Regions from separate parts of the Mus musculus genome. Here region 2 is reported to be linked to region 1. The links are microRNA targets in miRTarBase. Many come from high-throughput screens and were not tested one by one. Region 1 holds a microRNA gene; the other region holds the end of a gene's coding sequence.

Region 1 (5,073 bases):
TGGATCCTGGGCATGGAACCTGAGTCCTCTGGAAGAGCAGCCAACCCTCTTAACCACTGAGCCTTCTTTCTGGTGAGCCCCCTCTCTTTAAAGACAGTATTTCATGTAGTTCAGGCTGGTCTTGAACTTCTGGCTCTTTTCTCCACTTCCCAAATGTTGGAATTTCTGGATGTTTTATTTTGTATCTGTGTGGAGCGATGCAGTGTGGTGGCTGTATCCCCAGTACTGCAAAAACCTAGGAGGATTACCATAAGCACAAGGCTAGCCTGGTCTACTCTGTGAGTTCTCAACTAGCCAGCCGTGATATACGATGTCTCAAAAAACCAGCATTCTTTTTTTTCCCAAAGAAGACAAAACAATGTAGGGACTGAGATATTATGGGTCAGTGTTAATAGCATTGGTTGCTCTACCAGAGCATATGGGTTTCATTTCCAGCATGCATGTGTTTGCTTACAATCCTCTATAGTTTCAGTTGCAGAGGATAGAAAGCCTTTTGACCTCCCTGAACACTAGGCATGTACATGGTGGTACAGACAGGCAAACAAAGCACCCATACACAAAAAATTACATTTAAAATTAAGTGGACAAAATGAGTTCTTGAAGATCGAAAACCAGCTCTGTCTGCTTTAAAAATATTTTCTTTCAGCCTTTGAGCTGGGGGGTAAAGATTCCCTGTCTCATATGGATATAACTAGGGGTAAAGCTCAGACGCCAGCTGCAAAACTCTGTTTTTCCCTTCGCTGACAGAACTGAGTAGAACACCTCAGGTTCTGGGTGCTAGGTGCTGTGTATCTTTGGACATATTAGCTCAGAAAGGTCACTTAATGAACTCTTACCCATAAAGTGGTTCACATTCTCAATGACATCAATGACATCAGAGCATTTCTTCACTTACAAAAAGTGCCAGGGCCTCCTCAGCCCAGCCAGAGGTTTCCTGATGACGATGCTCTGAAGTTGGACAGAAAGAGGGAAGGCCACGGTTTTTAAGTAAATGTCCCATCCTGGAGGAGCAATGAACAAATTTCTCGCGAAATACGAAGCATCCCCTAGGGGTTCATTCAACCGCTGGCTTGGCCAAAGGACACTTTGCCGGGATCTCAGAGCCCTCGCTAATTTGGTGAGCTGTGTAGTAAGCATGGACGCGCCCTCATGAGTATCACTATAATAACTACAGAGAAATGAGCTGGGAAAAGGCGGACAGAGCTCCTTTTCAAGAGTTATGAATGAGGAGAAAGTGTTTGTAGAACTCATTGTTAAAACGGTGGAGCCAAAACTCGGGCGCCTGGCCAATCGGAGCCTGGAGGCTATTTTGAAATCTTTCCAGCAGCAGCCAATAGGTGCGCAGGAGGCAAAGCTTGGTGTAGGCGCAAGCCAATGAGGCTGGCGCTGTGCCTTGAGGCCCGGGGCTCGGCCCTCGGGACTGTCAGATGGTTAAAGATGGAGCCGAGGGAGAGAGGGCGCCACGAGGTGCTGAGGTGCGGGGTTGTCCAGATATGACGGGGCCGCCGCCTACCTGGATCTTCCACTAAGCTTCACCTTGTCCCCCTGGTGAGAACAAGAGGTGTCTGTCCACGTGAGTAACTGGTCTGGGATAGGGTGTGCGGTGAGGCCAGGGAAACTCCAGATGCCAGGAAGCCCTAGTTCTGCTCTTCTAGGCAGGAGAATCTGTTAGGATAGAGTGCAGAACTCATACTGGGGGAATGGACCAAGGACCGGATCTCGGACTCCAAGGGCCTCACGTGCAAGGAGTGAAGTATCCCTCTTATTCTAGTTCTGGTCTGAAACAGGGTACAAGTAGTCCCACTGTGCTCCCCTCTGCAACTGAGCGCAGGCCTCTCTCCTTTGTGTTTGAGCCCCCTCGGGTGCTCGCCCTTCAGCTCCCTCCTTGGAGTACCTCACCAGAATCAGAAGCCTGTTAGAGAAAGTTTGAGTTCCCTGAAGTTAATAAGTCCAGAGGACTGCATCCGGGCTGGAATCCCGTCTGTTCTCCGAGCTTGGATAGATGTCCCACCCACCCATGGTGGTTGAATTTCCAGCGCAGCCCTGCGTGCAGCGAGGGCGATGGATTTCCTGCTGGCTGCGGGTGCTCTGACTAGGTTGCACTACTGTGCTGTGAGAAGCAGTGCAATGGTATTGTCAAAGCATCTGGGACCAGCCTCGAAGACCACCTCACCTACTGTTCCTTCTTTCTTCCCTTTCCAGGCCTGGCCCCTCAGGCCTGCAGGCCGTACCCTCCCCCTGCTCATTTTACTCTCTTCTCCATGGAAACTTGAGATTGTAGCCAGGCCCGTGTCTCTGGGGTCAGAGGGCATCCTTTGCTCAGGCCGAGGCTCCGCCCAGGTGGGCATGCGTTCTAGGTCTAAGATCCCACTCCAGCCACCCCAACTCCCCATGCCCCGCCCCACCCCGTGAGACTGACAGGCTTGTTGGACACTCTTTCCCTGTTGCACTACTGTGGGCCTCTGGGAAGCAGTGCAATGATGAAAGGGCATCTGTCGGGCCAGCTAAGGAGCCTGAGGAACAAAAGGGTCAGTGCTTGGATCATAGTCTTAGATAGAGATAGCTATCTCTAGCTAAAAGGATAAGGTGGATGCTGAGAACCATATTCCAAGGCTGGAACCAGTACAAAGGGGAGACCCCAGATTTGGAAAGGCTCCAGTCTCAAGCTCTTAGCCCCCTCCCCCCAGGTTAAGATAGGGGAGTCTGCTGCAGGGGGCGCGGCGGTGAGTGAATGGTAGGTAGCTCATGCCTTAAATCTCAGCACTTGGAAGGCAAAGGCAGGTGGATCACCCAGATCTAGGGCATCCTGGTCTACATAGTGAGTTTTAGGACAGCCAGGGATACACAGAGAAACCGTGTTTTGAGAAAAACCAAATTAACTAATTAATTAATTAATCAATTAAAAAAGAAAGAAAGATTGGTGAGCCCATGTCTGGAGGCTGATGCAGGAAGATTGTCTCAGTTTTGAAGCTGTCTGAAGAATCAAAACAAAACTAGGAACTCCAGGACCTTGTGGAGAGAAACAGATGTTCACCTCTTTGTATGGAAAAGGTTTGTATACCTTGCTTAGCCTTGACTGCCTCGGGAAGAACTGGACTCAGCCTTTCCTGAGATAACCACACCTTGGGTTCACACCTTGAGGCTCAGAAGAAGTGTCCTGCCTGGGCCAGATGGATGGACTTGGAACAAGAAGCCTGCAGAGTAGGCCTGCCAGCCATGTCTGCTTGCTCCTTTACAAAGAGGGTATGTGCTGAGTAGGAGAGGCATGGAGGTGTCTGGTATGTCTGCTTTCCAGACAGGGCTGGAGCTCATTTTTATTTATTTATTTATTTATTTATTTATTTAATTTATATGAGTGCACTGTAGCTGTCTTCAGACACACCAGAAGAGGCCATCGGATCCCATTACAGATGGTTGTGAGCCACCATGTGGTTGCTGGGATTTGAACTCAGGACCCCTGGAAGAACAGTGCTCTTAACCACTGAGCCATCTCTCCAGCCCTGGAGCTGAATTTTTAAGGATGCCCGATCCTTAGTGTGCTTGCAGAGTTACCTTTAGCGGCAAGACCCAATGGCCCATGCCTTTGAATGCAGCACAGGGAAGGCATGGGTAGGTAGATCTCTGTGAGTTCAAGGACAACCTGGTCTACCCTGCACGTTCCAGAAGAGCTATATTTACATGGTAAAGCCCTGTTTCAATGCACCCACCCCTCTTTTACAAACAAACAAAAACCTAGTAGGAGGTGGTCAGGCCTGCCTCCTTGAGAGGAGGCCCAGGCTTCCAGATTCCCTTTTGGGAATAGATTGAGAAAATCAGCCTTAATAGTACTCTAGCTCCACAAGTCCTGGCACCCATGGGGACTGCTCTGATACATAATGAGTCTCAGGCCTGACGGAGGGCTTTGATGGGGAAGAAGCAACCACACTCCTTTGTGGCTAGGGTAGACGTGTGTCAGCAGCTGTTGCCACAGCAGATCCATCCTGAGGTGCTAGGAATCCTAACATGTGCATATCTTACATATCTTACATGTGCATATCTTACATATCTTACATGTACATATCAGGGGAGGTCTGGGCCGCAAAGGATTTAGGTTGGCTAAGTCACTTCTGTGAATTTGAATTGGCTCAGGGTGTAGAACACTTGCCTATTATGCACAAGGTCCTGGGTTTAATCCCTAGCACTCCAGAGGGGAGGGGAGGGAGAGGAAGGTAGCGGAGGTAGGTGTGAGGAGAGGCCACAGGAGGACATCAAGACATAGAGCAAGTAAGTGGTCATGGGTGCAGGCATGCAGTCTCTAATCCCATTGTTTGGGAGGCAGAGTTCCAGCCTGGTCTACAGTGGATTCCAATATAGCTAGAATTACATAGGAGACCTTGTCTCAAAAAACAAGCAAAAGAAGTGGTCAGGACATGATCTGGAGAGGGATGTGTGTAATGCTTCCGAGTAGGTAGGAAACTCAGAGGGTGCAAAAGCCAGAGCTAAAGCCCTTTGGGGGGCAGAAGGAAGTCCTTTTGGATATTATCTTAGTGAACTGGAAAGTAGATTCAATTACCAGGGCGGTCTGGTAGGGCAGAGTATGGAGGGAACTGCAAACTGGGAGAGGGCTGGGTGCTTTGAAACGGAAAGGACCACGGCTCAGAAGGAGGTCAAAATCCAGGAGCTCAAAATCCAGAAGGTACCTGGGTGCCTTTGGCGGTCACAGTGAGGGGTGGAGCAGTGGGGGCGGGGTGGGGTGGGGAGCACACCAATGCGCATGCCTAGAGAAGTGAGCATTGTTACGCGTACTGGTGCTGGACCCGCCCCCTGTCTCTGTGGGCATTCATTCCCTGGGGTAGACCGGGAGGGGGGTGGGTAGTCTGGGGATCTGGAGTCTGCACTGCGGCTGTAGGGAGAGAGTGGGTACGCCCTGCAGTCCTCATCCCGATGGTTTCCCATCACCTTTCTCAGTCCTGGCCCTCGGGAGGGTCTCCCTGCCCCAGGAGCCCTGCCCCGACGGTCGTTCTACCCACAGGTAGCATCGACCCACCACCAGCAGTCCATTTCCAATGGAAGTCCTGGATGAGTTCGACAACG
Region 2 (5,073 bases), not on the chromosome of region 1:
GTAACCAGAATTCTTTGAATATAAACTCATTAAATGAGAGTCTTGTGCAGTTTATAAATGTTTATAGATCATTCATTCAACAGATATGTGGGTTATCATTTGCATGCTAAGAATAGTCATTAAAAATTAATACTCACACAGTCTCTGCTCTTAGTAGATTATAGTCTAGGCAGAAAGATTATAATAGTCAACTGAAACGCTGTTAAGTAAAATGAACATGGTAACATGGTGCCAAGGGTCTGAATCATGTAGGCTGCTTAAGGTTAGACTGCTGGTAAAGGACGCTGAGAAAATCAACTTTACATCATGGGAAAGGAAATGGACAATGTGCAGGCTCTTGAAAAGCATCCTGGAGATGGTGAGGTGGGAAGATCCATGGTAACTAAACTTGAGTACAAGTAGATCCTGGAGGACACGTGGTTGGCACAGTCTCAGGGAATGGGACAGATGATAGATTCTTAGTCTTCATTGCAAAAGCAATGGAAAATTGTAGTTGAGGTTTGTCTTTAAAACAAAGAAGGGAGCAACAGAGAACTGGGAGTTGAGAGTAGAAGAGACAAGATGGGCGTGAGGCAGTAGCAGAAGTAGGTATGTCTTCAAGTCATGATTAAAGACTTAATATGTGTGTATGTGAGGGAGGGAGCCAGGGCAGGATGCTGTTTAGTCCTCAGCTCAGGTCCCTAGACAGACAGAGACAAAGACAGGAGGGAACTGTGCTAGGATGCATAGAAGAAAGTTGCTATACAGGGAACTGGATAGTCTATTTGTGATACTGATTTAGAAAACACAGATGGTCAGTGGTATTCAGAACACAAAAAAAAAAAAAAAGAAAAAAAAAACAAGTAACATGTATACTTTAATATTTAGAGTGTAGGTAAGAGAAAAAAAGAGGATTTTTTTTTTCAAGACAGGGTTTCTCTGTGTTGCCCTGGCTGTCCTGGAACTCACTCTGTAGGCCAGGCTGGCCTCGAACTCAGAAATCCACCTGCCTCTGCCTCCCAAGTGCTGGGATTAAAGGCGTGCGCCACCACGCCCCGCAAAAAAGAGGGTTTTTGTTGTTGTTGTTGTTTTGTAACATCAACAGTAAAGAGTAATGTAGTAAAGGTTGGGGTATAGCTCAATGTATGGTGTCTTAAGATTTTTTTTTTTAATGAATGTAAACAAAGGCATTATAAAAGACAAAGAAACTAGGCTGGGAGCATACAATTGTAATCTCAACCTTTAAGATGCCAAGGTAGAAAGACTGTTAGTTGAAAGCCAGTCTTAGCTACCCTATCAACAAACAAAGTCAAGCAAAGGTGGCATTTCAGCATGTATACAGAGAAACTAAGGGTAAAATGTGAAGATGCCAAAGAAAGACAACAAGGTACTTCCTCAAATCTACCTGAGACACTGGACACCCAAGCATTTGCCCATTGTTCAAACCTTCTATCTCAGCATCCTGTTTGGGAACTTCTCAGTGTTCCAGTCTTATTTAGTCTACTTTTTCTGCTCAATCATTGCCCTTCAAAATGAGCTGCTTGCTCTTTGAACGAGGATGGGAACAAGAGGAATATCAAACCACATGAACAGTGAAAGAATGCACAAATAGCAAATATACCTGAAACAGCATGTGAGCTTTCCAAATTAGCTGTTCCCACACTAAACTTGTTCAAGAGACAAACAAAAAACATATTACGAGTACACTAACATAAAAGTTTTATTGAATAAATACATGTGCTGTTATATAAAATTAAGCAAAAAGGACATTCTATGATTAAAACAAACAAACAAACAACAAAAAACAAGAACCACCCTCTATTACCCTACAGTGGGTAATCCAGATGGGACCATTCACTGCAGCAGGCTGCACTCTCTGTATCTGCCTGAGGTTTTTTAAACTAATCCTAAACACCTCTGCATAGGGACTGCCTGTACAAGAAATATAGAGTGCAAAATACAAATGGTAGTACATATGGTTGCAAGGCTGCTTCTGTTTTCACCTGAAACTTGAAAACACCTTTGTACTTTAAGGCACAGGATAAGCCACCACATGAATAAGTTAGGAGAGCTGTACTTCAAATCACTAATTTCCCTCATTGGTTTGGCTCAAAGTAGAAAATGTAACATTCTTTTTTCCTAGGTAAGTCATTAAAAACTAAAAGTTAACATTTTGAGAACTAAAAGTATCTATCTATTTTATATCTTTAGGACACTGGAGTGTGCCTTGATGGCAAGTCAGCCCTCCTCATGCAGCACTCAGAACTACAACTAAGTGGACTAGTATTACTAGACCTTCTGTCTCCTTTCCACTTAGACTGGAGATGCTACTTGAAGACTCAGATGATGCACGTGGGGGCACTGTATCTGAACTCATTGGCACCAGCTTTTGTGACTGTAGTAGGGATCATACTGATTTATTAGGGGATTGTACCCTTAACTCTACTCAATTTGCCTAATTAGTTATGAAAAGCATTCCATTAAATAAAATACACACTTAACTAAGTCTATGGATGCAAAACTAAGATAGATAGGTTGTTGGTGAAAAAACGATTGCCATGATACAATTTCAGGAAAAAAATCTCTTTTATAGACAGAAGCTCTTAAATGGACTTAATTAAAAACACACTTAAGGAAAAAAAAAGCTAATACCATGGTCAAGCAACTAGTTTTAATATAACCTGCCTTTCTCCTGCAACTAAAATGCCACCCTTGAATATTTTATGTGCATATATGTTCATGTGTGTACCTACACAAACTTTCTCACAATCCTACTCACTAATGAAAAAAGATTTATAAACAGGATTCAGAGGAAGGTGTCAGATGGCAGGAGAGAGATTACTCTGACGGTATGACTACCTGGGGTGTGCTGTGAAGAGCCACAGACTGTGTTACAACTGTACGTGTTACATTACAAACTGAGGCACACTTTCATCTTTTAGACAGGAGGAGAGTGCAAAAGGAGCACTCGATATTCATCACAGGCACTTTGGTATGTTTGGTCACATAAGCTTCCCATAGGTTTAATTCCAAGAAGCATGTGAATGGAACTACTCCAATTTTGATTACAAAGCTGTATTTTCCTGCTATAAGTGTACATAGTTTTAAATGATCTCATAGCTGAGAAGCCCTTTTCATCCTAGAGGTTAAAATGCATACTGAAAAAAAAATCTTCCTACATTTGTGCATCTTTTGCTTACAGACAAGCATAGCTTATAATACTGTGACATAGCCTCACCTCACAAGAGGTTTGAGATCTCTTACATACAAAACATGCTTTTCCCAATCTAAAAATAAAAGGATTCCAAAATAAAAATTGTATTAACATCTGGCATGGCACAAAATGAGGATATCCAGGAAATCTCAAGCCTTACAGCAGCTTGCTGGCACTGCGCAGGATCTTTTGTCACGTATGAGGGGAAGCTCGGGAAGGTGTCTGTCCTGTGTGTGGACTTATGGCCAGGTTCTCCCATCAAGAGCAAGTGCAGTGCTCTAACTAACGTCTTTAGCTCAGCACCCTTTGTTACTATGCATCCATCCCATTTCACCTCTTTACAGTAACAACAGACCTGTCTTCCTAGGGTAAGAAACAAGGACAAAACAAATTAAGCTTGCATCACTCTTGATAACACCTTATATCCTAATATGCTTTGGGCAAAATATAATGTATGTTTCTTTTTCCCAAGACAGAGTTTTGAGGTGTAGCCCAGGCTGGCCTTTAACACTTGGGTCTTCTTGGTGTGGCCTCCCATACCCTGGGATTACAGATGTGAGGTACAACGCCTAGCATGTGTGCATCTCTCTACTACTCATGAGTCTGTTATAACAAACAATTACACAAATAAACAGCACATTCCTTTCTTATGTAATACATTTCAGATGAGTATACTGTGATTCTCCAGAGCCTTGACAATGCTCTCGGTATTGTCCAGTACTCAGTTATACAACTTTTAAAATTAGCCATTCACTGACTTCTCACTGTATTTTCCTATTTATAATAATGTTAGTAATTTGAAATTTGTTTTATCGTTCATAATAGACATAAAAATTCTAATATTTAATAATCTTTCCATTTTTTCCTTTAAAAAGCCATATCACACAACAGATCTATGAGAACATTTTGCTGAAAAGATGAAAATGATTAATTTGTCACAGAATGTAATAAGTCTTAGAAGAAAATACATATTTCCTTAATTCATTTTCTTCTTTATCCAAACCAGCATGTAGATATTATAAAAAAGAATCTATTTACATGGTGTAGTGCACCTCCAGGATGCAGGACAAGGCAGAAACAAGTCCAGGTATCTGCTTTCCAGCAGGTGCAGCTGACAGAGCTCCACACAGCACAGGAAACACATCACTACACCACTGGTGAAGCACTGGAGGAAGCTCAACAGGGAGATTCAACAATAATATTGGCCAAATTTTCCTACAATGCCAAGTTTTATAAAATTATTAAGGTATGTATAACTCAATACTTAAAATTATAAAAATAGCATTGGTACATCTGCGAGAAGGTGTGTTCCATGTTGAGGTGCCACGTGATACACTGAAAAATAGACCTACGTCCAGCGTAGCTACGTTATCACCTGTGGCCTTGTCCCATCTTCTGTGAGGTCATACCTGAGAAAGCACAAGAAAGTACAACAGACTTGGGTCAGGCTTTGGGATGGTAGACGCAGCAGCTAGGTTTCTCTGGGAACTGCCTGCAACTTGGGACAGGGGCACTCACCACTGGGTCCAGCCCTTGGCGAGTTCTTCAGATGCCAGAACAACCAGCACCTGTGGATTAAAAGAAGGTTCTGTGAAAATTCCTGGGTAATTCCTTTTAGATCATTCATCACTCCTTCCTACCTCTCTAATTTCTTAACAATATGAAAATCTCATGTTTTGAGGTTCTCATTTTTAAAAATCATTTTAACCTTTACATAGCTGAGTACATCCAAGAGATTCTTCTTGTATCTAATAGTATTACAATTATTATGAAACACATAAAAGAGATACTATGAGATACTAACAAATATGTCACTAATGGCAGTGTGTGGTTTAGATATGAAGTGACTATAAAAGGCTCATGTTTAAAAGCTTGGTTGC

Evidence for each region. The annotated mature microRNA mmu-miR-301b-3p reads CAGUGCAAUGGUAUUGUCAAAGC and lies in region 1 at 2,121-2,143, shown strand. An mRNA with a match to its seed (bases 2 to 7 or 8) in the 3' UTR can be bound and repressed. Matches are read on the target gene's strand: a 7mer-m8 pairs with bases 2 to 8, a 7mer-A1 pairs with bases 2 to 7 and ends in A, and an 8mer does both.
Region 2: the mRNA of Esyt2 is a reported target of mmu-miR-301b-3p. Seed matches in the 3' UTR shown: 7mer-A1 at 4,238-4,244, 7mer-m8 at 2,932-2,938 and 7mer-m8 at 1,929-1,935.

What each region holds. Positions count from the first base shown.
Region 1 is chr16:17,121,490-17,126,562 of GRCm38, reverse strand. It overlaps Mir301b (microRNA 301b), which reads left to right and starts at 2,067; the gene lies at 2,067-2,163. It overlaps 2610318N02Rik (RIKEN cDNA 2610318N02 gene), which reads left to right and starts at 1,361. Exons shown (of 7, transcript NM_001358255.1): 1 at 1,361-1,573; 2 at 5,012-5,073. The coding sequence starts at 5,046. It overlaps Mir130b (microRNA 130b), which reads left to right and starts at 2,421; the gene lies at 2,421-2,502.
Region 2 is chr12:116,369,700-116,374,772 of GRCm38, reverse strand. It overlaps Esyt2 (extended synaptotagmin-like protein 2), which reads right to left. Exons shown (of 22, transcript NM_028731.5): 21 at 4,712-4,761; 22 at 1,675-4,602. The coding sequence ends at 4,557. Among named protein-coding and RNA genes, the nearest start is that of D430020J02Rik, 33 kb to the left of the region's middle.